Linked DNA regions of Caenorhabditis elegans. The protein of the gene in region 1 purifies or fractionates together with the protein of each later gene. This does not show direct contact. Each region holds a gene or a part of one and is shown in the gene's direction. Other genes may lie near its edges. The genes, in order: gtsf-1, eri-3, pir-1 and drh-3.

Region 1 (5,949 bases):
AGGCAGAGAATTGATGATAATACTGAAAAATCCGAGGTTTTTCGGGGGGGGGGGGGGGGGGGGGGGAAAAACTATGATTTTTCGTACTTTATATCATCTCTAAACACTTCATCCATCAGCTTATCCGCCTCATCGAGCACAAAAAAGTCCACATGGGACATGTTCATTGCTCCGAGCTTGACGAGCTGTGCTATCCGACCAGGAGTTCCAATGACGATTTGTGGGCCTGAAAAATAGAGAAAAAATGCGGAATTTTCAGATAATTTGGCTTAAAAACCCACGCGTTTGCTTCAAATCGATGAGATTCAGCTTGTGAGCGGATCCTCCAACGTATACTCTGAAAAAATTGCGGTTTTTCGGTGAAAAAATCATAAAAATTCGGATTTTTGAGGTGAAAAAATATAAAAATTTGAATTTTTAGGTGAAAAATCACAAAAATTCGGGTTTTTTAGGGGAAAAAGTCATAAAAATTTCGATTTTTAGGTGAAAATATCATAAAAATTGGGATTTTCACGATTCCTGGGTCTTCTTACGAAGTTCTAGCGCCGGTCGGAGCGACTTTCCGCACAGTTTCCTTAATTTGAACAGAAATCTCTCTCGTCGGAGTCACAATGACTTTTTGGATGTGTGAAGATCGAGAATCCAGGTTTTCTACGGCTAAAACCGAGAAAACGAGCGTTTTTCCGGTTCCTGACTTGGCCTGAACAAGCATATCTGAAAAAATAGCAGTTTTTAAGGCCCAGGCCCTTATAAATAGGCTGACCTCTTCCCAGCAAGCCGACTGGGATGGCCCGGGCCTGAACTGGAGACGGCCTGTCGAATTGGCTATTTTTCAGACGTTCCAGCGTCTTTTGTCCGATCATCAGCGACTCGAACGTGCAATTCGATTGGACATCGATCGAGCTGCCGCGGTCTAATACCTCGATTACCTCGGAGAACTCCATTGGCTCTGAAAATTAAAAATTGCTGTATTTTTCTGTACTTTTACAGATTTTAATGGCTTTTTCGGGATTTTTACCGAGTAAATTGGAAAAATCAATAATTTTCTTGGTTTTTAACGCGAAAAAATCAGTTGAAACTCGATTTTTTGGACGGAAAATTCATTAAAAAAACCGCTGAAAAATATCTAATTTCGCAAATTTCGCAACGGGGCGCGGTTCTATGGGCGGAGTTTAGCGAACGCAATAGCGCCGCACACTTTTTTGTTGTTTTTTTGTCATTGTTTTTTGCGGGAAATCTTTGGTTTTTTATTGATTTAATGACTCTTAGCACATTTTTTGTTTAAAAAAATGAAATTAAAAGTTAATTTAATGGATTTTGAAACGAAAAATGCCATTAAAACTCTGATTTTCCTCAAAAATTGCATTTTTCAGCTTAAAAATGGAAATCGACGATTGCGTCATCGATATGATCCAAGTTTTCTCGAAAATCAATAGAGAAGTTCCGGAAAAAGCGAAAAAAGCAATTGTCGAGATTGAACGGCTCGATATTCTTGCGAAGAAGGAGATGGAAGTTGCTAAAAAGCACAAAATCGAATTTTTTGCGAATTATGAGGAAATGACGGCCGAACAAAAGACCAAAGCGTTCACTTTTATGCAGGTTTAGCTCCTAATTTAACAATTTTCAGAAGAAAATGGCGAAAGTTTGAAAATTGCGGTTTATAGGTGAAAAAATCATGAAAATCGCGGTTTTTAGATGAAAAAATTATAAAAATTTGGATTTTTAGGTGAAAATATCATAAAAATCGCGATTTTTAGGCGAAAAATCGAAATTTTTTTGATTTTTTCACCTAAAAAACCCAATTTTTATAATTTTTTTCACCTAAAAATCCAAATTTTTATGATTTTTCACCTAAAAATCGCAATGTTTGTGATTTTTTCACCTAAAAATCGCAATTTTTATTATTTTTTCATCTAAAAATTCCAATTTTTATAATTTTTCAGCTAGAAATCACAATTTTTGTGATTTTTTCACCTAAAAATACAAATTTTTATGATTTTTTCACTTAAAAATCGCAATTTTTGTGATTTTTTTATCTAAAAATCCAAATTTTTATGATTTTCTCACCTAAAAAACCCAATTTTTATGCTTTTTCCCCTAAAAATTCCAGTTTTTATAATTTTTCAGCTAGAAATCACAATTTTCATGATTTTTTCACCTAAAAATCGCAATTTTTGTGATTTTTCACCTATAAATCCAAATTTTTATGATTTTTTCACCTAAAAAATGCGAATTTATCAATTTTCAGAAGAAAATGGCGAAAGTTTCCGAATATTCCGACCAAAAAATAGAGATTGCGAGCGGTTTGAAGGTTCTTCTGAAGGATGTCTACGGGAAATTCATGGAAGAAGAGCAAAAGTTCATTGAAAACCTGAATAAGATTCCAAAAGCACCGGAAACTCCGCCAAGCAGTTCTCCGTCAGTGCGAAGTCATCGTAAGAAGAAGCTTTCCGAGGGAGATGATGATGCTCCGTCGTCGGTGGATGAGAAGAAGCGCGGTCGGAAGAAAAAGCCAGAATCCGAGAAAGCAGTGGCCGCCGCCGAGCCACCGAAAATGTACTGCTGGTGTCAACTGGTAAGGGCTCCGTGAGCTTCCGCCGCCGCTTAATATCGCCAAATTGGGATAATTTCAGGATAAAAACGACACAATGATCGAATGCGAGAATCCGGGCTGCAAGTACGGATGGTTCCACTTCACATGCATCGGAATGATCACTGCTCCAGCCGGCGACTGGTATTGCACCAATGAGTGCCGTGCACAGGGTCTCGCGGCGGTTGCAGAGGCTCCGCAGAAGGCTCCACAACGAAAGGGATTGAAGAAGAAGAAGTGAATAATTGGTTTTTTTTCTTTGATTTGCCGCTTGTGTACCTATTTTATTTGAAAAAAAATCATCCGATGATCACAAAATTGTATTGGTTTGATCTCCCATTTTGCTTTATTATTCTATGATAAACTGAAACTTGTTTGCATATAAATTTCTGTTTAAAAAATTATTTTTTCTGACTCTCACAACGGTTCTGATGAATTTTATTCAGATTTTGAACTGAAAATTAACGATTTATTGATTAAACTTGGATTTTTGTTGGGTTTTTCCTTTAAAATTGCTGGATTTTCAATTTTTTCGGTGAAATCGCTGAAATAAATACATTTTTTCGAGCCGCTCCGCACGCCGATGCGTCGCGGTCAAGGCTTTTTTCCATGCCCACTCCTTGCAAAACCCCGTGCGGCACAATTGCGTGTAGATTTACGAAGCCCCGCCCAAGAATTTTTCCTCGATTTCATCCAATTTTTTTGGCGATTTTATCCAATTTTTCATCGAATTTATTGATTTTTCGAAATTTTAGATGGCGTCGGGAGAATCGGAGGCCCCTGGGACTTCAAAAAATGATCGATTTTCGATAACATGCCCTTACAATTCGGATCACAAGGTTGGAATTGATATATTTTTAATTTAAAATTAAAAATTTTATATTTCAGGTGTCAATGGAGGAGTTCAACACGCACTTGTGGAAGTGTCGCACGGAAAAATTGCATTTTTACCCGCATTCGTTGAAATTGAAGAGGTTTTTTTTTTGCTCAATTAATTTTCCAATTTTTCTATAATAATTATCATTATTTTTTTTAGATGCTCCTACAACATGCGTCACTTCCTTCCCGAAGAAGAGCTCCAATTCCACGAGATCTTCTGCAAACGTCAATCCGCCGATCTTCGACGCCAATTGTCACTGGAGCCGCTGGAGCTGAACGTGGCGGAGCACCTGGCGGCACAGAAGCTTCGGAAAGAGTACGAGAAGGACGAGGAGTCGCTAGATGGATCAGATGACTCGGATGAAGACGAGGAGGAGAAGAATCTGTCGGTGACGTCGGAAATCGAGAAATCGGATGTGGAAGAGGTGGAGATGATGCTCGAGACGATCAATCGGCTTGCTTACTTGGAAATGAAGAATGATAATTTAATTTTGTGATTTTATTTTTAAAAAAGTGGAACAAGTAAAATGAGAGAAGCATTTTTTTTTCAATTTTTGTGCTAAAACTATGGTACCGGGTCTCGAAACGAATTTTGAAAAAGCCACCAAAAAACCACGGATTTCTGGCTTCCCTCATAAATTGAAATGGAAGAGTTTGCCGAACTAGGCCATTTTGGCTCGGCAATATCTGGGGTAGATTTACGGCGCGTTGCGTGTCGCGTCGCGGCTCGGTTTTAGTGTCCATGTGGAGTACACGACTTTCCCACGCGTTGTCCGACAGGCGATTGTCAATGGAGCGCGAAAAATTCAATGAGAGGAAGGCCAGAACCCCGTGAAAAACTGGAAAAAGCCGATAAAAATTGAATTTTTTGGCGCGAAAATCGGAAAAGCACCCGGGAGGCGTCGGGACATCATCTATAACTATAACTTTTAACTTTTCTATAACGTAAATTCTATAGAAAAGTTAAACTTTAAAAAAAGTCAGAAACCCATGAAAATTATAAACAATCCCCACGTGGTCGCTGGCTGTCCTTTTTGCATAATTTTGAAGCAAACGCGCCTCATTCAGAATTCACGTTGGCGCCAACTCTCGCTATCCATTGGGCGTGAGAGACGCAGATACTACTTTTTTCTCTGGACGTGAAAAACGCAAAGAATAACCGTTTTGTCGTCTGCGTCTCTTCTTTCACACGCTATTTTGGCTGTGGACGAGGAATTCTCCTCTTCCAGGATTTTCTAGGCCATTTTCTCACATTTCTCAAGTTTTCTCGTCCGCGAGAAAACGTGAATCCCGAGTTCTAGGCGAAGAACAACCTTTTCTGATTGAGCCGTTCCGCTGGCAGCTGCGTCGCGGTCATGGCCGCGGCCCAGGTTCCCAGCTCTCTTGCCAAAGCTCTGGGATCCTGGAAGCCCGTGGCCTAAAAAAAAGCCCCTACACAGTTCAAAAACAGCTGAAAAGTAAGAATTCGCGTGAACCCTGACCCCTCTTCGCAAAAATTCCTTTATAAAATCACTGATTTCTCAAAATTCCAATCATTTTCTCCCAAATATCGCTTCGTGATGACTCGTGACTATTTTTCCAATGGTTCATCCTACTCTTCTTCTTCTACAAAAGGCGACCCAACAATCATCATAATCGTCGTTCTCGCCTGCATTTGCTGTTGCATATTGTCCTCGGCTGGAATCGGTGCAGGGATCTACTTTTTCATGAGGAGCCGGAATAAGAACAATCAATACTCGAATAATGGAATGCGGAACCCGCAACCTGTCGGTCAACCGATCGGAGCACAAACTACAACTGAAGGAGCACAGATGACCACCGGTGTACAACCAATGATTGTTTGAAAAGAGATGTGTGCAGAGAAGAAATAGTCAAAAATCGATTCTTTCCCATTTGAATAAAGTGTTTTTTGCCTAATTCACAGGGTTCTGGTCTTCCTCATTGAATTTTTCGCGCTCCATTGACAATCGCCTGGCGGTTAACTCGTGGGGGAAAGTGTCGTGTACTCCACACGGACAAATACATTTAGTTTTACAACTAAAACCGAGCCGCGACGCGACACGCAACGCACCGTAAATCTGTCTAATTATGTTACAAGACCGCAAGTCACGCCTAGAAAATGGTTAGCCAATAATATCATCGGCGCTTTAGTTAGTAGATCACATTTTGTCAGGAGAAAGGGATACACACAGCCACAAATTGGCTGGAAATTTTATTCCGGGCCTTTAGGGTCTACTTTATAGTAGAGAAAAATGTACAAAAATAGGCTAATTTTTGCTTCAATCCCCGCACACAAAATTAGCTCTGTGTAAAATGACCCGTTTTTTTGAAAAACGTCACATTTTCCTGCAGCTCCTATCAGCTCTGTGAATCGACACGCGGGTTTTGCTACATGGCCTAGAAAAAACGAAAACTCGGCCAGCGTCCAATTTTTCTGAACCTTTCAGACTTTACATTTGTGTGATCTCCAAAAATTCCGG
Region 2 (6,571 bases), on another chromosome or scaffold:
GGTGGTGCGGCGGCTGGAGCTCCCTGAGCTACACGTCCTACGGCTCCGAACATCACGTCTTGTGGCGGTGGTTGCTGGTGTTCTGCTGGTAAAAATTTGAATTTTTGAGTGTTTCAAGTGCGCTCTGATGCGAATTTTAGAGGGAAATTTGAATTTTTTGGCAATTTTGAATTTTTGAGTGTTTCAAGTGCGCTCTAATGCGAATTTTGGCGGTAAATTCGAATTTTTCCTAAAAATTGAATTTGTCGGTGTTGCAAATCAGCTCTAATGCGAATTTTAGCGAGAAATTCGAATTTTCTAGTGTCTAAAATGCGCTACAATACAAATTTTAACGGAAAATTCAAAATTTTTCTAAAGTTTTGAAATTTCAAGTGTTTCAAGTGCGCTCTAATGCGAATTTTGGTGAAAAATTCAAATTTTCACAAAATTTCGAATTTTCAAGTGTTTCAAGTGCGCTCCAATGCAAATTTCAAATAATAATTTAAATTTTCACAGAATTCTTGAATTTTCTAGTGTCTAAAGTGCGCTCTAATGCAAATTTTAGGCGGAAGTTTATATTTTAACAAAAGTTTGAATTTCCGAGTGATTCAAGTGCGCTCTAATGCTAATTTCAGCGGGAAATTCGATTTTTTCGTAAAAATTGAACTTTTCGGTGCTGCAAATGTGCTCTAGTGTGAATTGTAGCGGAAAACTGAGATTTTCGGTTCAAAATTCAACTTTTCATAAAATTTTGAAATATTGAATGTTCCAAGTGCGCTCCAATGCGAATTTTGGTGGAAAAATCAAATTTTTACAAAATTTTGAATTTCTCCGTGTTTCAAGGGCGCTCCAATGCAAATATCGGCGAAAAAGTCAAATTTTTACGGAATTTTGAATTTCGGCTGTTCCAAATGCGCTCTAATGCAAATTTCAGCGAAAAATTCAAATTTTCCGGTTAAAAACCGTACGTGGCGGTCTCTGCATCATCATATTCTGCATCATTTGTTGCTGCTGGAGCTGAGCTGCAGCAGCGGCTCTTTTCTGCATTTCCGTCTGCTCCATTCCTCTCAAATGATGTGCCATGTAGGCTTCTTGTGATTGTGCGTAGGCGGCCGCCGCCGCTTCTGCCTCCTTGTCAACTGCCGCCGCTTTTCGGTGCTTTTGTTGCTGAAAATTGAACATTTTAAAGTAAATTCAGCATTTTTGGGTCAAAAATTGTCTTTTTTCCAGATTTTTCTATAATTTTTAGGTTTTTTTTACGAACCTGTGACGTTCTCGCCTCCACTTCTTTCTCCCACTGCTCGAATTGCTGTACATACGAATTATAAGCCTCCGTGCCAATGGAACCCCTGAAAATCATCCAAATTTGCAATTTTTCCCCGAAACTCGAGTTTCCCACTTATTATTCTCCTTCCACTGCTCGAATTGAGCTCGATAGTCTGCGTATTGCTTCTGCAACTCTTCCTCTGATACCTGGAAATAGAGAAAAATCGATTTTCTGCGAAAAATCCTTGAAAAACGATAAAAACTCACTTTTTTCGAGGCTCCCGACATAATTATCTGAAATTTAAATAACTTTCTATAGATTTTATGAGAAAAAATGGAGAAAATCGACGGAAAACTGGCGAAAATCGATAAAAAACAATTTTTTTCAAAAAAATAAATGGTGGCCGAGGAGGGGTTTTCTAGGCCATTTTGACTTTAGACTCGGCCACCACGATTTTTTGAATTAATTTCGCTGATTTTTTCGCTATTTTTATTCATTTTCTCCCGTTTTTTCTGATTTTTTCTGTTAAAATCAATAAAAATTCCTAAAAATCCGATTTTTCTTCAGGTATGCAACCCGTTCTTGTAAATAGTCGACCATTACGGGTGAAATCGCACGAATCCGAGTCAAAACTCAATTTAATCGAGCAAGAAGACCAGTTTGAAGGCGCAAATTGTGAGTTTTTAGTGCCAAATTTGATTTTAAAGCTTGTAAATTCAGATTCAAGCTCGTCTGGTGTCATAATATGCTATTCGAATGGTACCGGAGAGGTTATTACGCAGGAGGCGTTTGATGTAAGGGAATTTCCAGGGAAAATCGATATTTGGAGTCCTAAAATATGCAAATTATTGATAAAAATCGCAAAAATTGCCTTAAAAACACGACGAAAAAACAGTTAAAAATCGAAAAAAAAACCATGATTTTCCAATTTTTTTTTTGCAAAAAATTTAAAAACTCGCAATTTTCAGGATTCCGGCATTCATTTTATCTTCTCAAAAGCCACGTGTATACAATATCCGTCAAATTTCGACCCAATCGGTGTGGGATCCGTCGTTCAGATCTTCTGGAGCCGGAGCTTCGAACGGGTGGTCCGCGGGAATCATATTATAGTGCAAATCGAGAAAATGGAGGTTTATAAGTGTAAGTTTGACCCGGAAATTCGAATTTCCCGCCAAAATTCACCCTGAAACACTTGCAAATTCGAAAATTCGGTGAAAATTCAAGTTTATAACCTAAAAATTTGAATTTCCCGCCGACCGGATGCTGCAAGCTCGCTCCACCGAACAAATCATGAGAAATTCAAATTTTCAGGTTGTGCAATGCTCCGCGAGCAGGTTTTCGTCACATTCAACTCCCCGTCGACTGCTGGCGTCGCAATTGGAGTCACCGAACGAAATATTACTGTAGCTTTCCATCCGAACTGCTCGCCTGTTATTCGCTACGAGACCTTAAAGGCGCATAGCATTGGACGCACCGAATTCGAGATTAAAGATGTACGGGAATTTGAATTTTCCAACGGAAAAAATGTGCTCTATTGAGAAAATTGCGAAAAAAACGGGGTTTTGCCTTTGAATTTTTAATTGAAAAAGTGAATTTTAAATAAATTATTGCCGAAAATTAGATTTTTCATTGAAAAATTTTTTTAAAAACAATTTTCTTCGAAGAAAAATTTAATTTTGGCTGAAAAACGTGCATTCTCCACTTAAAAAAACATTTCCCACCCACCGCGTGCTGCGAGTGCGCTCCAATGCAAATTTTGCATTAGCGCGCATTTGCAGCTTGCGGTCAGCGAGAAATTCGAATTTTTGGGTTGAAATTGATAGAATTTAACTCAAAAATTCAAATTTCCCGTCAGAATACTACTTTACACAGAATATCTCTACTCAAAATTCACTTTTTTCGTTCAAAATATCAGTTTTAAACCTGAAATTTCAAATTTCCCGCGGATCGCATGCTGCAGATGCGCTCCGATGCAAAATTTGCAATAGAGCGCATTTACAGCTTGCGGTCGGCGGGAAATTTGAATTTTTGGGCTAAAAAAGCGGATTTTCACCAAAAATTCAAATTTTCCAGAGACACCGAGAGAACACGAATCGAATGGTGGACGTTATCCTGGCGGCAGTACCATTCCGCGTCGAAATCCACGGAAACGTCGATAAAATCCCATTTTTCGTCATTGAAAAGTGCCGAAATTCGCCGGGCCGATCCGGCGCCGCTGTCATCACAAAAATTATGAAAAATCATTTTATGGAAGCGAATTTCCTGCAAAATTCCGAATCGATCTACTTTGATTCGACGTCTTGCCACTCGAATATTCTCGAAAAAGTCAGCATTGGCTCACTGATTAATGTGCTTGCCGACCCCACATTTGCCACGTCATCATACAAATGGTATGGCTATGACGTCACTCTGTGTAATGTTCGTTTTTTAGTGATTTTTTACCAATTTTTACGCAAAAAATTTGAGATTTTCGTGTTTTTTCCCGCGATTTTTACCTAAAAATTGGCACTTTAACTGAAAAAATCGAATTTTCGTGGCTTATGTGCTTCCACCTTAATTTGGGGGTCAAAAATACCGATTTTAATGGATTTTTGGTTATTTTTGAGCCAAAAATTCATTAAAAGCCGTATTTTCTACCCTTGGATTATTCGTAGAGCACATTTGCCACCGGAGATGCGGAAGCTATGCCCAAATTTTGAATTTTTCACTCAAAAACTTGCAAAAAATTTTTTTTTTCCAGAATTACCTCGCCCACGCCAGCACACAGAGAAGCTTTGTACTGGAAAATAATGAGATTCTGCAAAATTGTAAGAAGCTCGAAAAATCGCCGGAAGAAGCGGAAACCACTACGAAAAATGATTTGAGATTTGTGCCACCGCAGCCGGAAAAGGGAGAGGTTAAGAAAAAGTACGGAAATCTCGAAAATTTCAGCGAAAAATTTGAAATTCCGGCATTTTTGAGCAGGAAATCCGTTAAAAAACCCAAAAATTCAAATTTCCCGCAAATTTATCATTAGAGCGCACTTACACTCATAAAAATGCCGAAATTGTGTGGAAAATTGATTGAAATTTAAATTTCTCTCCTGCAAATGCGCCCCAATGCAAATTTCTTCAGATTTTTGCATCGGAGCGCATTTGCACCATTTTTCGAATATTTTTTTGTGGCTCCTGTGCTTCTACCCTAATCTGGGGGTAGAAAATACCGGTTTTAATGAATTTTTAGCAGAAAAATTTATTAAAATCCGTATTTTCTATCCCCGATTACTGGTAGATCACATTTGCCACCGGAGATGCGGAAGCTATGCCCAAATTTTCGTTTTCAGCTTTTTTACCCGGAAAAACGCAATTTTTTTGCAGAAAAATGACGAATTGCCTGAAATTCAACTCGAAAAGTGCTCAATTCAAGCTCCGACATCTCATCCTCGACAGATGCTTCAGGTAGATCAAAAATTCAAATTTTCAGCCAAAAAATATCGATTTTTTCCAGCGAATTACCGGAACGCGAGGCCAAATCGATTATCAACTCGTATTTTATCGATCGACTTGCCGAGGGCATAAAAATCGAGAAAATCGACAAAAATTGGAGGACATTTGGTGAAATTTTGCCGAAAACTCCAAAAAAGTACAGCGAATCGCTGAAAAAATCGATTCAAAACGTTTTGGGTAGGTTTAGATGTTGCAAATGCGCTCTAATGCGAAAATCGGCGAAAATTCGCATTGGAGCGCATTTGCAGCGTGCGATCCCCGCGAAATTTGAATTTTTCGTATAAAAATCCTGTTTTCAGAACCATTTGGCCTCAACAAACCGGAAAAAGCAGCGGAAACTCCAAAAATTGTGGAATATTTCCCGAAAAATCCGAAAAAACGTGTGGAAATCGTTGAAAAACCGACGGTCGACGAGATTCGCGAGCTCTTTGGAGCACTTATGGACGCGGAGGGTTTTGCGTTGAATCAACGTGTGAAGCCGCATTTCGTGCTACCCGATACTCGCTGGAAGCCCACAGAACGGAGATATATTGGTAAAAATTGGATTTTTCGCGAAAAAATGGCGTTTTTTGCATGTTTTAGCCGGTTAAAACATGAATTTTCGAAGGTTTTTTGCCTATTTTTCCCTAAAATGGAGCATTTTTCTGATTTGGGGGTACTGTAGCTACAGTAACCATCGGATTTTTCCCTAAAAAGTAAAAATTGTGGCTTCTGTTCTTTACGCCTAATCTGGGGTCGAAAACAAGTATTTTTTATGATTTTTTAAGCTAAAAAGCTTAAAATCCATTAAAATCCGTATTTTCCAGCCCTGGATTATCCGTAGAGCACATTTGCCACCGGAGATGCGGAAGCTATGCCCAAATTTTCATTTTTCCACCCAAAAACTTGGACTTTCAGTCAAATTTTCAATTTTAAGCCCTTTTTCCGTTCAGGAATCTACGACGACGTGCAATGGACGTTTATGAGCACATTTTGCCCGAAAATCGAGGAAAATTCCGAAAATCGACCGCTCGCCGGCGGGGTAATATGGATTTTTGTCGATTGGAGCGCATTTGCAGCTTGAAAATTGTATTTTTCAACAAAAAATTCAAATTTCCCGCCGACCGCGTGCTGCAAGTGCGCTACATTGAGAAAATAGCCAATTTTCCACCCAAAAATCGATTTTTTTTTTCAGTGGTGGTACCGGCGAACCGTCCCACGGGACCATCCCGTCGAAATTGTGCAGAAAATGGAAACTCGGCGGAATATTATCAAAGATTGTACAGAATCCCCGTTTATTGAATGAAAAACTAACTCGTGTGAATTTAAAAAAAAAATATAAATAGTTTTATCGATTTTTTTCTCATTTTTCTGATTTTTTATCGCCTTTTTCGGGTTTCCCACCCATAATTTACCTATTTTAAGAGGAAAATTTGAATTTCCCGACGATTTGGTGGTGCGATCGCGCTCCAATGATAAATTGGCATCGGGGCGCGATTGCGACATGCGGTCGACGGGAAAATGAATTTTAATCTGAAATTTCAGCTCCTCGCCACTTAAAATGTCAAAAACCGTAACAATACGGCGCCCATCGCCCACAAAAACCTCAGAAGAGCCCGCTGCTCACCAGACTCCGATTTTCACACAAACCGCCGCTGAAATGCTCGGAATTACCAGCTTGAACACAGAAGCCGCCGAATTATTGGAGTTTTTGGTAAAAAATCCGGGATTTTGTGGTTTTTTTTGCGATTTTTTAGCCAAAATTCCATTAAAACGCGGATTTTTCACCCTTACATTGCAGAAAAAAATTTTTTGAGTCAAAAATTCAAATTTCCCACCGATGAAGTGCTGTAAACGCGCT
Region 3 (6,623 bases), on another chromosome or scaffold:
TTGTGTCGATTTACAAAAACCTTTTTTCATCGATAAAATTTTGAATGAAAACACAAAAACTATTTTGGAAAAACGAAAAACTTAAGAAAATTTGAGAATAGCTGTAACTTTTCGAAAATAAATTAATTTTAAAAATTGAGCCCGTAAATCGACTCAAGTGCTACAGTAGTCATTTGAAGAATTACTGTAGTTTTCGCTACGAGATATTTTGCGCGTCAACTATGTTGCTCAATACGAATTTTCAGAATTTTGTGTAAATAATACATAAAAAGAGTTCCATTACAGCCAAAATATTTAAAAAAAATTTAAAAATAATGTTTCAAACTAAAAAAAAACTTTGTTCACTTTTTTGTTGTATTTTCTAACTTTTTTGTTTTAAATTTCGAAAAAATAATCTGATTCAGCTCTGGTATCATCTGAAATCGTTGAACATACCATCATCATCTGGTAAGTACTCATAAGTTGCTGAAGCAATAAGAGGTTCAAATGCACTGCTCATCATCGCAATGCAATCATTGATCATTTTAGTTCGGAATGCGGAAAGTTTTGCTCGAGATTTCTGAAAATAAAAAAAAATTGTGAAGCATAAATTTTTCATTCTCACTTCTTGAATTTGATCAACATGTTTAACTCCACATTCTTGCATCTTTTTGCCAACATTATTCAGCGTTTTTGCAATGATAAATTCGATATCTCCAACGGCAATTAAAAGTTTTTTCGTCGTTATTTCATTATTTCCTTTCTTTTGTCCAGGTTCTTGAGCCAATTGTTGAGGTCTTTGTCGAATGAATAACCGATCGAAACATATTTTTATAGAAGTGATGAGATGTACGAATAGATCAATAATTGTGTCACGGAAACGTTCTCGAGAGAAAAGGCAAGCTTCTCCAGGATATCCAGAAATGGAAAGAGCATCACGAGTACGCGTAAGGCATTCGCAAATCTGCAATAATAGATAGATCTTAATAACTTCCGTTAAATGGAAAATAACCTCATTTTCATAATAATCAGGAAGAATTGTCTTTGTTTGTTGTGCTCTGTCAAGAATATCTTGCTTCCAGTTGATTCGGTGAGCAAGAAGAGCAACTCCTGAAATTTAAATATTTTATAAAATAATATTTATCATCTTTATTGTATAAAAGTTATACTCACTTTCCACTCCACAATCTACGAAATCGGAGAGCAACTTCAATCTGGCAGTCATACACAGTTCAACTAACGGTTGAACATGAGTAAGACTGAATTGATTTTCAAGCAGTGAAGAAATCAAAGATCTTGTAGTTTTTAGACTGAGTTGAAGATTTGAACGACTAATATCAGCAGGAACTGTGGGCCACTTTGCAAATTGATCTCCGTACTGCTTCAAGACCATATCAGGAAGAGCTTTGGGAACCAGGGCGTTCAGAATCAGCCACGATGAGACGTTTATGATGTTGGTCAGCATTTGCTGAAATTATTAAAATGTTTCAAAACTCTGCTTACAATACACTAACATTAATATCCTCCAATCGTTGAATGGCATCAGGAGAAGCCGTTGAGTTATGATATGTGTTGGCAAGTTTCCAAAATGAGGGAAGTTTGCTCAATAATAATTCAACCAGCGTTGTCACAAAGTTCTGTAGCTCATTGGTTTTCGTAATCAGGTGATTCTGCGAATTGATTCTCTGCTGATTTTCAAGATCCTCTAATTTAGCTTTTTCCAAAAATTGCGTCTGCATATCCCAGAGACTTTTCTCAAGCCAGACGTAATAAGAGGTTATACAATCCCAAGTAGGGTCTGATTCTGGATCCAGAATTTTTAGATATTTGATAAGTTTACTTTGTTCTTCATATGAGACTGGAGTATCGATAAGCTTTCGTTTCATTTCTTCCTTGAATACTTGCATTTTCTCATCGATCTCAGTCATCACTGTAAATCGATCAAATCATTTTTTTTATTTTTCAAAATTGAAAAATTAAATACGTACATTCTCTAAACAACGGAACATCTGTGTCTGCATACAACGATTTTGCTCTTGTATAATCATTGAGAATTGTAATATATTCACCCTTTTTCATACTGTCCTCAATTTTCGAAGAAAGGAAAAAGATGAACTTGAATCTGACAATGACTCCGAGAGCATTTCTAGTTGCGTCTGCATCATCTTTTCGTTTTAAGACATCGGCAAACACATTTTCTGCTTTCGATTTGGAGTCTTTGATCTGAAATTTAATTTTAATTAAGTTTATTTCATTTTTTTCATCAGCTATATACCAGTTTAGAAATGTTTTTTAAAGCGGCAAAATGATCAGCATTTTCTCCTTTTTCTAACGCTTGATGAAGATTTGCCAAAGTATCCACACAATTAATCAATGAATACAAGTTTGCTTTGTGCATTTCTTCACTTCTTTTCGCTTCATTTTGCTTTGATAATTCCATATTTTTAATAGCAATTCGTAGATCTTCGATTCTGAAATCCAAAAATTAATTAAAATTATTAAACAACTTTCTTACGTGGCGTCTGCATGATTCTCTAGAAGATACCATTGTGGAGAGAAATTTTCCATTCTTAAATTGCCAGAACAATCAGGAAAATCTCTTGAGAGAAGAACTTGATCCATTCGTTTCTGACTTGGAAGTAATCCAAGTGCATCTCTTTCATCTTGAATTTGTGGAACACTTCGAATTGCTTCTCTTCCTGGAACTGTTCTCGTTTCATCTACCCAGACTGCGGATTCTTCAAGTGGTCCGATTTGAGTAATGAAGACACGAAATTTGACATTCGAAGAGCCTTTTCCACCGGATTTTGTCGCTATTCGTACTTCACCGGGACCACGTGATGCTGCACCAACTCGGGCAATAATTTTTGATGGGGATTTCCATCTGAAAATTGAGCTTCGAGATGTAAATTAAAAGAATTCGAATACTCACTTCATACTCCACAAACTGTCGATTCCACATATAAAAAGCATAATCACATCACTCTGATCATTTCCCAAGTTTTCTCCTCTTATTGTTATTTGAGTTCCAGGGACTCCTGAAAAATTATGTTTATTTAAGACCGAAATCATATTTTCTAAATTCACCTTCAGTGGGCGATAGCCCTGTTACCGTAGGAGGTAGTCTTTCCCGAGCTTGAGCGTTTTCTTCCATTTACGCTTAAAAATTATTCAATTATAATCTGATTAACAACGTTAAAGTATCATAAAATTAAAATATTTTAAAATAAATTAAAAATAAATACATGAGCCACAGATTGTCCGAGTGGAGTACACACTGATTCAATAAACAAGGCGCTAAGCGGAATGCCGGAGCCTCGTTGCACAGCAATCGTTAATTTTTTAAATTTGAGCCACTCAATCTTAATCTCAATATTTTCAGTCAGTGTCATGTCTAATTACCATCATAATCACAATTATCAGCATCGCCCACGCGGATATGAAAGGCTTCCAGGAAAGAGACTCCCAGACAGGTTTTTTTACAGTTAATTCCATAATTAGTCCCAATAGTTCTTAATTGGAAATAAATCTCTTGAGAAAGTTTTTGATAATAATTGAAAAGGGTTTCTCTGTGTGTCAAATTTTTTAAAACTAAAAAAATTTAAAGTTTCATCACATACCTTTAAACTTGTTCTTTCAAAGTTTAAATATTATCGATTTTCTCTTCAGATGGAATATTTACGATAACGTCGGCCGTGATATCGATGGGACTCGATTTGTTCCATTCAAAACACCACTAGATTCATCATTCTTCGATGGGAAAAATATGCCTGTGGAGCTTCAATTTGGTGTAAAAACATTGATTTCTCTGGCACAACAGGCTAATAAACAAATTGGATTGGTTATCGATCTCACAAATACGGATAGATATTATAAAAAGACGGAATGGGCAGATCACGGAGTCAAGTATTTGTGAGTTGGAATTTTTTAACATTTAATTTAGAAAAATCGAAAGTTTATAGGAAACTCAATTGCCCCGGTCACGAGGTGAACGAACGAGAAGATCTTGTGCAAGACTTCATTAATGCTGTTAAGGAATTTGTGAACGATAAAGAAAACGGTAGATAATTTTTTTTGAACAAAATTAAAATTTTTTTATTCGATTACATTTGCAGATGGAAAACTGATTGGCGTACACTGCACTCATGGGCTCAACAGAACAGGATACCTTATTTGCCGGTATATGATTGACGTGGATAATTATAGTGCATCCGATGCGATTTCTAGTAAGTTTTGGATCCAATAACACATGTTTTATATAATTATTTTTCAGTGTTTGAATACTACCGTGGACATCCAATGGAGCGGGAACACTACAAAAAATCATTGTACGAAGCTGAAAGGAAGAAAAAATACGGAAAAAGCAGCGGAAAAAGCAGCGGAAACTCAGCCGATTCCACAATTTCGAGTGAACAGTTGCATCGAAATAATTCTCAATAACACCCAATACTGTTGTTTGTTCTTCTAATATTACTTGTCATTTAACTGTTACGTTCTGTAAATCCGAACAAAAATCGGGTAAACTTGTTATTATTTATTAATAGATTTCTTTCTGAGTACAACACATGGAAAATAATCACAGTTTTTTTTTGAATCACAACTTTTTCGCAGGAAATTACAATAAATTAGGGCGGAAAAGAGTCAACTTTTGGTCAAATCACAGAAATTGCGAACGTGAAGATGAATGGATGGATGTGGAGAGACGGTTGGAGTGAGAGAGAGAGACAGGTTTGGAAGTGATGAGACGCAGTAAATTATGCGACAAAAAATGAGGGCTCTAGGGCAAGAAATAACAGAATACTATGATGGGAGTGAACGGGAATTCAACGAGAAAAATTTAGGAAAACATGATTAAATGATAATTAATTATTCCGATAGCTTTACTCGATCTATTCCATCAAAATCGGTTGAAGTGGGAAGTTTTGTGGATGGTGAGAATAAGCAGCGAAGTTCGGAGCAGATAACTGAGAAATTTGTGATAATGGGCTCGTTTGAGGCGGTGGAGCACCACGATTGCGGAGCGTCAAAATGGCTTCTCCCGGACACAAATGAGTTGGCCAACGTGTGAATAGGACCTGGAATTGGTTTTTGTTTTAGCTTTATAAGAAACTTATGAGTAACTTACATTATCAACAGTATGTTCCGGTGTTGTGAAATTAGCCACCAGCTCAGGAACTCCGATGCTCATATGGATACCATAGATAATCAATTGGGTAACCTGCCCTGGCACAATTGGTGAAATTGGTGGAGATGGGTAACTTGACCAGAACTGTTGTGGTTGTGGTGCCTGTGGTGGCAGCTGCCCCATGAAACCCAATGGAGCCGGTGGTGGAACCTGATGTTGTTGACCAACCAGATGATGAAGGTTAAGCTCCTCAGCAGATGCTTGGAATACTTCGATGTATCTCTTCTTTTTGCCAACAGACATAAAGTTATTGTGAACTCCAGCAGCGCAGGCAGAAGCCGCTTGCTCATTGATCATTTGAATGAATGCTTCACCTGATGGATGACCTTGATTGTTGTATACCATATGAACACCTTGGAACTTTACCATTGTTGCAAAGTCACCAAGGAATGTGACGATATGTTGCACCTGGAAGAGCATTAACTTGTGTACTAGAAAATAAGTTTTATAAAAATTTCTCTGAACATATGTTCATTTAAAACCTGTCAGGTAGGTTTTTTCAGCGCAGAAAACAAAAAAAGTTTGGAAGAAAGAGTTGTCGCTGATCCCTGCCTACAATATGACTTCGCGCCTTCTGCCAAGTTACTATGAATGATACACTTAGAAATGCGAAAGTCTATACTATTGAGCACCAACGTTTAAACTTAAAAATGCAGAAAACAGGCAACAGTCAGGCAGGCAGGAAGGCGTACCTGCCTACTAGACTCACCTAAAAGTAGTGAACCTCTTTTTCTTACTTTTTGAGCTTATATCTCGGTCATGTTGGAGATATAGAAATCTTGATATTTTGATATTTTAATCTTTAGTTTTTTATCAAACAACTCCATACTCATATATGATAAAAGACCGTAAATTCCTAACTAACGCCCCACATTTCTCATCCCCCCACCTCTGCTCAACATTTGAATATTTGTCATCGGAACATATTCATCAGTAAGTACTTAAATACTCTTTTGTATTCTCACCTGTTGTAACTCACGGAGCTACAGCTTCATCATCATCAATCTATTTGACGGGGGCGGTTTATTTGCCTAAACTGCCTAAATTTACCATGAAACAATATCCATTCAAATTATACCGAAAAATGATAGAGCTTAGTGGTTAGCCCGACCAAACAGGTAAAAAATCAAAATTCTCATTTTAACAATCATGACTCGGCTTAAAAACCCCAAAATAAATTTATAGTGAAAATTAAAGAATGCCACCAGCCAGCACCAAAGTGTTTCCCATTCTATAATATTATCACAATTTTCTGGTCCCCTGACAACATAAATGTGATGTTCTCAACCTCCAGAACCCACGAAAAAACCCAAACCAATCACTTCACTTACAGTAGCTTCATAAGGCAATCCACGTAGGCGTACACAATCCTTCTTTTTCTCTTCCGGTGCTTCAACAGCATTTGCTACTGCTGGAGAGCTATTAATCAGATTGCATCTTTTCACAACTTGTTGAACTT
Region 4 (10,648 bases), on another chromosome or scaffold:
TTTGTTCATTTTAAAAATTTTTGCCAATTACATAAATTAATTCTTCTAAAAAGATTATCAAAACTTATATCTCTGTCTGCGTTCTCTTTGAACTCTTATCTAATTTGCAGTCACTTCGAATACGGGCGAACACATCATTTCACTGGAACCAACTTTGCGATTTGCCATGAGATGTGTGGACGCTAAAAAGTATCAGACGATGGCTGTTGATGTGCTCAAATTTCTTGCTCGCCCACAAATGAAAAGGATGAAATTGCCAAACGAGTTTTTTGAAGATCTCATTGTTCTCGTTCTTTCCAAGTATAACATTCCAGACTCCACATATTCCGAGAAATTGTATCAATTTATTGGTTAGCAATCAAAACTTAAAATTCAATTCAAAATTTTCATTTCAGATTACTTTCTGAATCTCGTGGAAACTCTCAGAAAGGAAAACGGTATTGTGATTGACGAGAAGAAAATTGTTGATAAATGGGCGGTATGTTTAATATTAATTTTAAAAAAACATGAGAACAATTGCCGATTTTCAGAATATGGGCCATCATTGGTTTTCCATCTTTTTCCTTTCTCATCGTTTCGATATTCTCAAATTCTCGACCACAATCGCTCAGTTGCCATGGTCATCTGCAGACATTTGGAACGAGGAGAAAAAAGATCCATCCGATGTGACAAGCTATTTGCACTTGGCAAAACTTCCAACCGCGTGGCCAAACTACTGTAATCTCGATGTCATCGAGAAAACGGTTTCAGGTGAATCTTGATTTTTCTTTATTAGTGAGTTTTTTATTTGTATTCAGATCACATTCCACAAGAAGTAGTTCGTACACAGCTCTATGAAGCAATGAAAAAGTACGCCGCCGAGATGCCGATAGATGAGAATTGGAAGAAGGTTTGGGATCGAATATGACTTTATAGAAAAAACCTCATTCGAAATTTCAGAATCTCCTCAGACATTTCACAATTAAGATCAAATTTTTGACATCACACAAAAAAATTGATAAGGAAGAGCTGAAGGAAGACACAAAGCAGTCAAAAGAAGATAGCAAGGTACCTGAGAAGAGCCCAGAAGTACTTCCTGGAGACGCGGAAAAGTGTGAAGAATCGGAAGAAGTAACCACAAAAGCGTCTTCCGATGCAAAAGAAGGAGTGATCGCAGTAGATGCAGTGGCTGCTGAACCGGATATCGTTCAAGAAAATGCGACTAGCACAGATGATGCAAATAATGAAGACCAGGAGAAAGCTTCACAGGTCGTTGCCAGCTCTGTAATCTCTGAAGAAGTGTTGAAAGAAGAATCAACCGGAGACTGTGTAAAAACTTCGAAAGATCATATGGATTCAGAAACTGCTGGTAATTGTTCCGATTCTGTGATCAACGATGAGCCGGTGGAGGCTGAAGACCCCGACAATGTGAAAGTTGAACGGAAAGAAGAGGACGAGTCAATTGACGGAGTATCATGCGATAACGAGAAAATCCCACTGAAACCCTTAGCACAATGTGGCAAGAACTGTTTGTACGGCTTCTACCCGGACGATAAGTGGGCTCTTTTGAATGAGCCAGTAATCAATGAAATTTATCGGCTACGCGAAAAACACGGCTACTCGAACAAGGTAATTTATTTTTTTAGAAATGCCGTTAAATAATTCCAATAACTGAGTTTATTTTCCAGATGTAATCTTCGTGCAATACTTGTAACATATCACAAATGCATTCATCATCGTGATGAGTTCAACAGTTTTATTCAAAAATTTTGAAAATGCTCAAGTGACGAACTTTTTTTCTTTTTTTTTTTGTTAAGATTATTTCATTTCCCTTTAAAATTTTCTCTATAGAGCTATAGTATCGTTGTTCGTGTTTTCTAATAAACGCTTTAAAGTTTTGTTCTATAGGTTTTTATTGTTATCCAATATTGGTTTTAACCAGAAATATGCACTACATGTTATGACACTTTTCATATTAGTATTACTTTTTATTGTTTAACACGTTAACTTTACCGAGGTTTTGCAGCCCTACCCGTGTCCTATTTTATGCTGATATTCATCTTCCAGATGGGCAACAAAAAAAATAAATCAAGTGGGTCCCGAAAGAATCATTCTCAGCATTATTCTCAGCCAACAATGACCGTAGAGGAGTGCTTGAAGGAGTACGAGAACACAGGAAATTTCGCCAAGTTCTACCCGAATTACATTTTCCAACGGTTGCCAAAAGAGTTCCTCCAAAAATACTTAGCCTCTAAAAGTTCGTTTTACAAGAAAAGTTGACAAGTTTAACAACCTTCGCAATTTCAGAAAATAAAAATATTTCTAAAAATCCATCACTAAGTTGTTCAAACTCTACATTGGACAATATGAAAGAGACGTCGAAAAGTATCTATGTGGACGTGGATCCAGATGATCCTCTCTCCGATGAAGCATTCACTGCTCAACATCCTGTGGAAGAATGGTTTCGACTTCCTCTCGAATGGCGCATTGAGATCGAAAGGCAGCGTTTTGTGAAAAAAGGTATTTTATTCATGGCTAGAAAATTAATCCTACAAAAAACCGCTTAAAACTCGATTTTTGAGTAAAGAAAGAATTTAACAATTTTTCATATGGATAATTTATTAAATATCGAAAAAAAGCATTTCTCTTATTTTCTTTCAGAACGCGCCGACCGTGCTGCTGAAGCTGCCAGGAACTCCGCTGAACTTCTAAAGCCAGACGCTTAAAAGTGCATCAACGATTCGTTTTAACGTTGTAAAATGTTATTTTCGATGTTTTCTTTTCATCCAGTTATTCGTATTAATTTGCCATTCATCAGCTGAAATTCATCCCAACAACCTGCCGAAAGAATTTTATTTTCTGTTCTATCTTTCAAATTTCCTTTTCTTTTCTTCATTTTCTGTTGGCAGCTGCTCGTATTTCCATCACCGGTTCCCGTGAATTTGCAGTTTTAATGAAAGTTTTATTCTTGTTTTAAATATTATGATTTTATTTTCTCACAAGGTTGAAGAGCCAAAACATTTATTTATGTTGTAGAATTTAAATACTAATTTTATTGATTCCGCCGTTGCTCATCGTTAAATATTGAATACTGAAACCAAAACTTCCCTTCCTGACACTACTTGCCCTTCTTTAACACTAATAATGGTTTTCTGTTCATTCATGTATTTCCCTCTTAACTTTTTATCATTGGCAAGAGGAAGAGAAAATCATTAATGTGAAAACCTCTGCCACACTTGTTTATATTTTGTGCGCCAGTTTGAACAACATGTCTTTTTGTCGTTTTGTCGGCAAAATTTAATTTAATAATTTCCTACAGATATTTTCGATAATGCAACCAACTGCAATACGTTTAGAAGATTACGACAAATCGAAGCTTCGCCTTCCGTTTGAGTCTCCATATTTTCCAGCGTATTTTCGTCTTCTCAAGTAAGAAAATTATACATTTCCCCCCTTGCACTCGATCAAATAATTAAATATTATTTTAGATGGAAATTCCTTGATGTATGCGTGGAGAGTACACGAAACAACGATATCGGATATTTCAAACTATTTGAATCGCTGTTCCCGCCAGGAAAATTGGAAGAAATTGCCAGAATGATCATTGACGAGCCAACTCCAGTTTCTCATGACCCGGACATGATTAAAATCAGAAATGCCGAGTAAGACGACAGAGAAATCATGTATTAGAAAAACGTTCCAACGAAAACAATTTCTTCGGTGTTATCTATATCTGTGACGGCAAGGATGTCGAAACGGAGTTTTGAAAACATAAAATTGTTTTAATGACTTAAATTTTTATAAAAAGTTTAAATATCGTGAGTTTTCGAGTCACAGAAGCTTAAAAGGTCAAAAAAAAGTATTATGGTGTCTGGAATTTTCGTGCCATATTTTTTTTAAATACCAATTTTTCAGTCTCGACGTTAAAATCAGAAAACAGGCAGAAACATACGTTACATTGCGTCACGCACATCAGCAGAAAGTTCAAAGGGTAAAAACACTTTTGAAAAACATTTAATAAAATAATTTTTATTTCAGAGAAGATTCTCGGAATGTTTTTTGAACACTGTTTTGTTCGATGAGAAGGGACTCAGAATTGCTGACGAAGTGATGTTTAACTGTAAGTAATCGTGAAATTTCAAACGTTTTGAACTGTAAAATTCAGACGATAAAGAACTTTATGGATACTCACACTGGGAAGATCTTCCTGATGGCTGGTTAACTGCTGAGACTTTCAAAAATAAATTCTACGATGAAGAGGAAGTTACCAATAATCCATTTGGATATCAGAAGCTTGATAGAGTGGCTGGAGCTGCACGTGGAATGATTATTATGAAGCATCTGAAATCGAATCCACGTTGTGTTAGTGAAACTACAATTCTCGCTTTTGAAGTATTTAACAAAGGTAATCATCAACTATCAACTGATTTGGTCGAAGATTTGCTAACCGAAGGACCAGCGTTCGAGCTGAAAATCGAGAATGGAGAAGAGAAAAAATATGCTGTGAAGAAATGGAGTCTTCATAAGACTCTCACCATGTTTCTCGCAATCATCGGATTCAAATCGAATGACAAAAAAGAGAAAAATGAACACGAAGAGTGGTATTACGGATTTATTGATGCAATGAAGAATGATCCAGCTAATCGAGCGGCTCTCTACTTTTTGGATAAGAACTGGCCAGAAGAGCTTGGTAAGTTTTTTTTTGTTTGGAAATTAAATAGCGGCAAACATTTTGTACTTCAGATTTCAAAATACTGAAATTATTTTAATACAATTTTAAATAATGCCTAACTTTTTATTATTCGGCCATCTCATGCTATTTGATGTATTTTACGAATTTCGATTTACAATCTAGGCTTAACTAAATCAATTTTCAGAAGAACGAGAGAAAGAACGTGACCGTATCCGCCTTACCCTACTGAAAAGTCAGCGGACTAACGAGGAAGCTGTCGGCGAGGATGTTTGCACGACAATACGTCCACAACCGAAAGACAGCGGCTACAGTAAGATTATATTTCCAACATTTAGTGCAAATTTTCCTTTTTCCAGATCCAGATGCGGTGGTTACTGAACTTGTATTGCGTACTTATCAAGAAGAACTTGTCCAACCGGCTCTCGAAGGAAAGAATTGTGTTATTGTTGCTCCGACTGGTTCTGGTAAAACAGAAGTGGCAATTTATGCGGCTCTCAAACATATTGAAGAACGAACATCCCAAGGAAAGCCTTCCAGAGTATGTTTTTTTTTTAATTTTCTCGTCAAGTTCTAATATTATTTCCCCTTGATATAGAAGCAATAAAATTTTATTTTCCAGGTTGTGCTCCTTGTGCCGAAAATCCCGCTTGTCGGTCAACAAAAAGACAGATTCCTGAAGTATTGTAACGGAATGTACGAAGTTAATGGTTTTCATGGATCCGAGAGCAGTGTCAGTGGAACAGGACGTCGTGATGAAGTAATTGCTACTCATGTATCAGTTATGACTCCTCAAATTCTGATGTGAGTTAATGGAATCAGGTTCATTAAATTCTGAATCGAAAATTTCTGATATAACTCATTAATTTTTTATTTTACTTTTTTTTTTCAAAAAAAATTATAAATTATAAAAAGAGTGCAATTTTAATCAAGATATATAAAATGTTTAATTTTTTCGGATCGAGCTCTGGTTTTTATAATACCCGAACTAATTATTTCAGCAACATGCTTCAATCGGTACGTCAAAATGAGCGTTTGTATGTGAGTGATTTCTCAATGATGATCTTCGATGAAGTACATAAAGCTGCAAAAAATCATCCATATGTGTTGATTAATCAAATGGTTCAAGAATGGAAGTATGAAAAACCACAAATCATTGGTCTGACAGCTTCATTGAGTGTCAAAGTTGATGGACAAAAAGACGAGAATCAGATGCTTAATGATATTTATAATATGCTCGCATTGATCAACGCTCCACATTTGAGTACAATCACTCGCCAATCGAGCATAGATGAGCTCAATGAGCATGTTGGAAAACCAGATGATTGTAAGTTTGTTCTCAAGTTGGAAATTTAGTTTTTTTTTTCTTAAAAACCATAAATAAATTTTAAAATACAAATAAGATAAATTTCTAGGTGTATCAAATTATAAAAATATTTATTTTCAAGTTTACACAGTTCAAAAAAATTTGAAAATTGTAAATTGTTCTTGTAAAATGAAAAATGGTTTCTAAATGAAGTGTTGTAAACAGGAATTGAAAAAAAAAACCTTCGGAAGCTGAAAACCCACTTTAGAATCAAAACCACGGTATTGAAATTTCCTTTGTTTTCCCTTATTTCTCATGGTATTGTTTAACTTCAAGCTAATCCGGCAATTTCAAAGTAAATTCCTCATTTACTCTATTCCAAAAATAACCAATTACTTGTTTTCTCTTCGGAATATGAAATTTCATGAGAGAATTATTTCAAAAAAATTCTTCTCAGCTGTCGAACTATGCTTGCCTGCCAAAGAAAATATCCTTCGAGATTACATCGAACGATACCTTAACCACGCCCATGGCAAATTTCTCGAAGAATTAGCAAGCATGTCTAAATCAACTGGCCGCAACAACACTATCCCACCGAATATGATTAACACGTTTAAAAAGAATCAACCGAAGAATTATGAGTACTACGATTCATTACTTCAAGGTATTATTCAAGAGTTGAACAAATTGAATGTTCCTGAGAAATGGAATTCTCAAACTTGGGCGAAATACATGAAGGTTTGATTCATTTTCAAAGATTCTTGTAAATGAAATGATTTAGGTATATCTCGAAGCTCGCGGAATCGTTGATCTGATGCCTGCGATGGTTGCATTCAAATACATGGAAAAAGCTATTGGGAAATTGAATGAAAGTCATTCAGAGACAGTCGAATACAGCACCTTCATCAAAGACCATGATACTTTGAAACAAACAATTCAATCCGTTGAACCAGAAATTGTTCTACGTCTCAAGAATACACTCACCAATCAGTTCCACGTGGCTCCTGAATCTCGAGTTATTATTTTCGTAACACAAAGAAGCACCGCTCAACGTGTCAGTGATTTCTTGAACGAATCTAAAGTTTTAGATCAATTTGGTAATTATGGTGAACAAATGGTTGGATATGTTCTCGGAACAAACAAACAGGGCGCTGTACAGCAGACTTCACAAGAACAACAATTGACACTTGATAAATTCAACAATGGAAGACTTAAAGTAATTGTGGCAACGTCAGTTGTTGAAGAAGGTCTCGATGTTACTGCATGTAATCTTATTATCAAGTACAACTGTTCATCAGGATCAGCCATTCAACTTGTTCAACAAAGAGGTCGTGCACGTGCCAAAAACTCTCGTTCTGTGCTTTTATCAGTGAAGAGTAGTATCAATGAAACCGAGACTAACGCGTTAATCTCTGAAAAGTATATGAGACTTTGTGTGAAGAAGATCACAGAGAATGGCGAGAAACAATTGGCTGCAGAAGTGAAACGAGTCGCTGAACTAAATGCGGCTGAAAGGAAACGAAATCTGGAAGAGCAACTCAATTTGAGATTACGACATGAGAATAAGATTTATAAATTGATGTGCAGCAATTGTTCAAAAGAGTTCTGCAAGAGTATTTATATCAAAAAAGTGTTCTCGAATTACATGGTGTTCGATCCAAGTGTATGGAGATTTTTGCATGTTGAATCGGTACGTTTGATGAATGCTCAAAAACCGGAGCCGGCTTGTCGAAAATATAATTTTAATGAATTTTGTAAGATTATACTCGTAGACCAGGGCTGTAAAACCATTTTCCCAAAAAACCGAAACCTAAAATTTCTCAAAAAAAAAGACAATTAAAAAAATTTCTGTCACTAAAAAATCGTTTTAAAGTAAAAAAATCGCTTTATTCATCTGAAATTAACTTATTCAGGTTGAAACATTTATAAAGTGCTTAAAAATTACCTGGAAGTGTCGAATTGCCGATTATCAAATTGCTGAATTTCCGAACTTTGCTTTCCGACAATTGACTTTCAGGCTATTTTTGTGCAATTTCCAGATGTTTCAAGTAAATGTTTTTTTCAGCTAAGCCGACTTCTGTTTATCATAGAAACGCAATTTGTGATTGTGAAAAATTGAATTTTTTCAGAAGCGAAAGGTGAGTAAGTACTTGAGTGAGGACAATCAACCACTCAGTGATATCAAATGCTTCCATTGCAAGTTGGATGTTGGAAGAGCTTACAAAATAAGGTAATTGAAATTTAATTTATTTAAAAGTCGTTTCTTATAAAACAACATTTCTACAGAGGAACCTATTTGCCGCAACTCAGTGTCAAGGCGTTGACATTTGTTCAAGAATCAGACTATTCCTCGATGACAAAAGCAAAATGGTCGGATGTGGAACAGGATCTGTTTTATATTTCAGAAGCAATCGAGGATGACTTTGTAAGATTTTGGTCACTTGATTATTTAAAAATTGTACGAATTTACAGAGAATCATGTTGAATGCGCTCTCCGATACTGAAGAAAATATCGAAAAGAAGATTGTTCTTGATTTGGACTCACGACAACACAATAAGCAACTCGAGATGAAGAGATTGTAAGTGTGCTCTGGATTGTGATTCCTTTTCTGTTTAACACTTTCGAAGCTCAAAAAATACGGATAAACTCTCTATTATCATAATAATGCTTTCATTTTCAGCCATATTCAACAAGAACCACCAACGAAGGGAGTTGCACCAGAAGCTCAATGATCATCTCAAGGATTTCCAACTTGTACGAGAATTCAATTTTTCTTAATCTTTTTTGTTATTTTAATATCATTCATCGTGTTCTATTTACCGAGCAATTTTCATTCGATCTCTTGAATAATATAAAGCTCTATTTAGTTTTATTTTTTTAATTGATCTTTCAATTTTTCTTCCAACAATTTGACTGTAAATTAACAAATGACAAAAAATGGAATGATTTATTAATTTAAATCAATTTCTAGAACATCTATTCCTAATCATCTTGTCCTTTAAGATTGTAAACCGTAATTGCCTCTTCTAGCAGCTTAACACAAGCAGTATGATTAAAATGTTTAGCATCATCCAATGGAGTTCTATCATATCTATCACATGGATTCGGATCCTCTTGCCATTTACTCAATACGTATTCCAATGTGACAACGTCTCCTTCAGCAGCAGCCACGTGTAAAACTGTTCGATCATCATAATCTTTGCAATGAATATCATGTCCCATCAAAAGGAATCGTTTAATTGCAGCAATATCACCCAATTTTGTAGCATACATGAAACGATTCTGACCGTCATGATCATCTTTCAATTGACGACGAGGATCGATTTTCTTATTATCCGAGTAGATCTGAATTGGGATTATTATGGTTTAAGTAGAAAATGCTAATTTTTAACCAAATATATTATTCGGGATGCAGAGAAAAGTTCGTTTGGTAATCTACGTGGAAAGGCGATCCACGGACAATTGAAAACATTCCGCCCCCGAGCAATGGGTCTCGTTAGGAATTTGGCGGAATAAAAAAATAAAAATTCTACAACAAATTAAAAAATTTGACAAAATCGGCAAAACTAAATAAATGTTGCATACGGTTTTGCCGCCAAATACCTAACGAGACCCATGGTTCGGGGGCGGAGCATTTTCATTTTGCCATGGAGCGCGTTTCCAGGTCGATTTCTAAAGGAGATTCTCTCTGCGCCCCCACCATAAGATATTTCGAAAGAAAACTCAAATAAATTAACTTTAGAATTTTCTATTTTGAGATAACTTACCAGACTATCATAATTATGGAAGTTATACTTTTGTACGAGCTGTTCTGCAAACTTGACACCTCGAACCGTGTTTCCAAGTTTATCAAGTCGTGGACTGTACAAGGCAATACCCATCACATTCGGAATCACAATAATCATATCTCCAGATACTCCTGATTTGGCTGGAAGACCTACGTGGAAAGCGAACTGCCCCGACCAATCGTACATTCCACAAGAGTACATCAATGAGAGAGTATCACGGCAAGCACTGAAGAACATGATAGTTTAATGAAACAAAAAAGTAGATCTTCCAGCAATAAACTAAAGTTTCAATACTTGTAAATTTATCAATAAGTTAAAGTAGAAACTAGATCTTTCAAGCAGGCACAAAATCGCCTGCTTACCTACAAGGCAGGCCTAATCTGCCACGGCTGTGCCTAGAAGGGAAGATGGTCTCAAACGCAAAAAATGCAGACCTCATGTCTACCGTGTACCTACAGGCATTTGTACCTTCCTTAAACCTGCCTAACTTTATGCCTACCTACCTAATGTTTTCATGGATACGAAATAATATCAGGAATTGTATCAAACCAACCGATTATTCACAATTCGTTCTCCATTCATCGGATTGACACCTCCATTTGCCAATGTTGCAGCCATCACAGCCAATGAATCACAGTTTGTTTCAATAGAACAAATTTGAAAATAGAGATCAAGAGTGTCTTGTAAATTTAAATCTTTTGGAAAAACTTTGTGTTCTCTCATGTAGTACGATAATGCGTAGTTTCGATCAGCTGTTTCCCGTTCGGACAAGAAAACAGAATTATCAAATCCAATGTAGCCACTGCCAACGAATTTTCGGCATGCGTGGATCATCTGAAAATCCAGTAAAAATATAAACGGTTATGTACGAAGACACTTTTTCA

Evidence for each region.
Region 2: the proteins of gtsf-1 (region 1) and eri-3 purify together in Caenorhabditis elegans (affinity purification with mass spectrometry, with the first as the bait; one study listed by BioGRID). This does not show direct contact.
Region 3: the proteins of gtsf-1 (region 1) and pir-1 purify together in Caenorhabditis elegans (affinity purification with mass spectrometry, with the first as the bait; one study listed by BioGRID). This does not show direct contact.
Region 4: the proteins of gtsf-1 (region 1) and drh-3 purify together in Caenorhabditis elegans (affinity purification with mass spectrometry, with the first as the bait; one study listed by BioGRID). This does not show direct contact.

The regions. Positions count from the first base shown.
Region 1 is NC_003282.8:16,862,495-16,868,443, forward strand, and holds gtsf-1 (CHHC U11-48K-type domain-containing protein), read left to right. Parts: upstream 1-3,345; coding exon 3,346-3,429; intron 3,430-3,478; coding exon 3,479-3,564; intron 3,565-3,626; coding exon 3,627-3,966; 3' UTR 3,967-4,010; downstream 4,011-5,949. Other genes in the region: mel-46 (ATP-dependent RNA helicase), read right to left, coding at 1-22, 88-226, 282-337, 534-714, 764-944; ING family member lsy-13, read left to right, coding at 1,381-1,599, 2,249-2,575, 2,634-2,831; T06A10.107 (uncharacterized protein), read left to right, coding at 5,029-5,313.
Region 2 is NC_003280.10:1,121,721-1,128,291, forward strand, and holds eri-3 (Reverse transcriptase domain-containing protein), read left to right. Parts: upstream 1-1,813; 5' UTR 1,814-1,815; coding exon 1,816-1,921; intron 1,922-1,966; coding exon 1,967-2,040; intron 2,041-2,214; coding exon 2,215-2,386; intron 2,387-2,557; coding exon 2,558-2,739; intron 2,740-3,319; coding exon 3,320-3,664; intron 3,665-3,986; coding exon 3,987-4,153; intron 4,154-4,602; coding exon 4,603-4,683; intron 4,684-4,732; coding exon 4,733-4,908; intron 4,909-5,030; coding exon 5,031-5,264; intron 5,265-5,663; coding exon 5,664-5,752; intron 5,753-5,905; coding exon 5,906-6,016; 3' UTR 6,017-6,071; downstream 6,072-6,571. Other genes in the region: sut-1 (SUppressor of Tau pathology), read right to left, coding at 1-85, 948-1,146, 1,244-1,328, 1,379-1,452, 1,513-1,533; taf-6.1 (Transcription initiation factor TFIID subunit 6), read left to right, coding at 6,272-6,424.
Region 3 is NC_003280.10:9,174,015-9,180,637, forward strand, and holds pir-1 (RNA/RNP complex-1-interacting phosphatase homolog), read left to right. Parts: upstream 1-3,323; 5' UTR 3,324-3,369; coding exon 3,370-3,452; intron 3,453-3,648; coding exon 3,649-3,891; intron 3,892-3,934; exon of another isoform or gene 3,935-3,941; coding exon 3,942-4,039; intron 4,040-4,094; coding exon 4,095-4,205; intron 4,206-4,252; coding exon 4,253-4,419; 3' UTR 4,420-4,619; downstream 4,620-6,623. Other genes in the region: sec-5 (Exocyst complex component 2), read right to left, coding at 436-559, 605-943, 992-1,089, 1,153-1,447, 1,494-1,909, 1,968-2,202, 2,255-2,450, 2,495-2,863 and 2 more; RNA-binding protein sym-2, read right to left, coding at 4,869-5,054, 5,105-5,572, 6,496-6,623. UniProt on the Caenorhabditis elegans protein: RNA polyphosphatase which has RNA 5'-triphosphatase and diphosphatase activities. Displays poor protein-tyrosine phosphatase activity. Binds to 5'-triphosphorylated RNAs (also called ppp-RNAs).
Region 4 is NC_003279.8:7,817,533-7,828,180, forward strand, and holds drh-3 (Helicase ATP-binding domain-containing protein), read left to right. Parts: upstream 1-3,298; 5' UTR 3,299-3,310; coding exon 3,311-3,408; intron 3,409-3,467; coding exon 3,468-3,641; intron 3,642-3,894; coding exon 3,895-3,970; intron 3,971-4,017; coding exon 4,018-4,099; intron 4,100-4,144; coding exon 4,145-4,669; intron 4,670-4,856; coding exon 4,857-4,982; intron 4,983-5,028; coding exon 5,029-5,210; intron 5,211-5,291; coding exon 5,292-5,473; intron 5,474-5,670; coding exon 5,671-5,996; intron 5,997-6,432; coding exon 6,433-6,713; intron 6,714-6,756; coding exon 6,757-7,665; intron 7,666-8,104; coding exon 8,105-8,205; intron 8,206-8,261; coding exon 8,262-8,400; intron 8,401-8,447; coding exon 8,448-8,554; intron 8,555-8,656; coding exon 8,657-8,708; 3' UTR 8,709-8,846; downstream 8,847-10,648. Other genes in the region: D2005.4 (TPR_REGION domain-containing protein), read left to right, coding at 111-350, 396-478, 531-750, 798-889, 940-1,608, 1,668-1,673; D2005.7 (NAM-associated domain-containing protein), read left to right, coding at 2,047-2,236, 2,287-2,499, 2,641-2,705; glna-3 (Putative glutaminase 3), read right to left, coding at 8,959-9,321, 9,744-9,990, 10,318-10,598.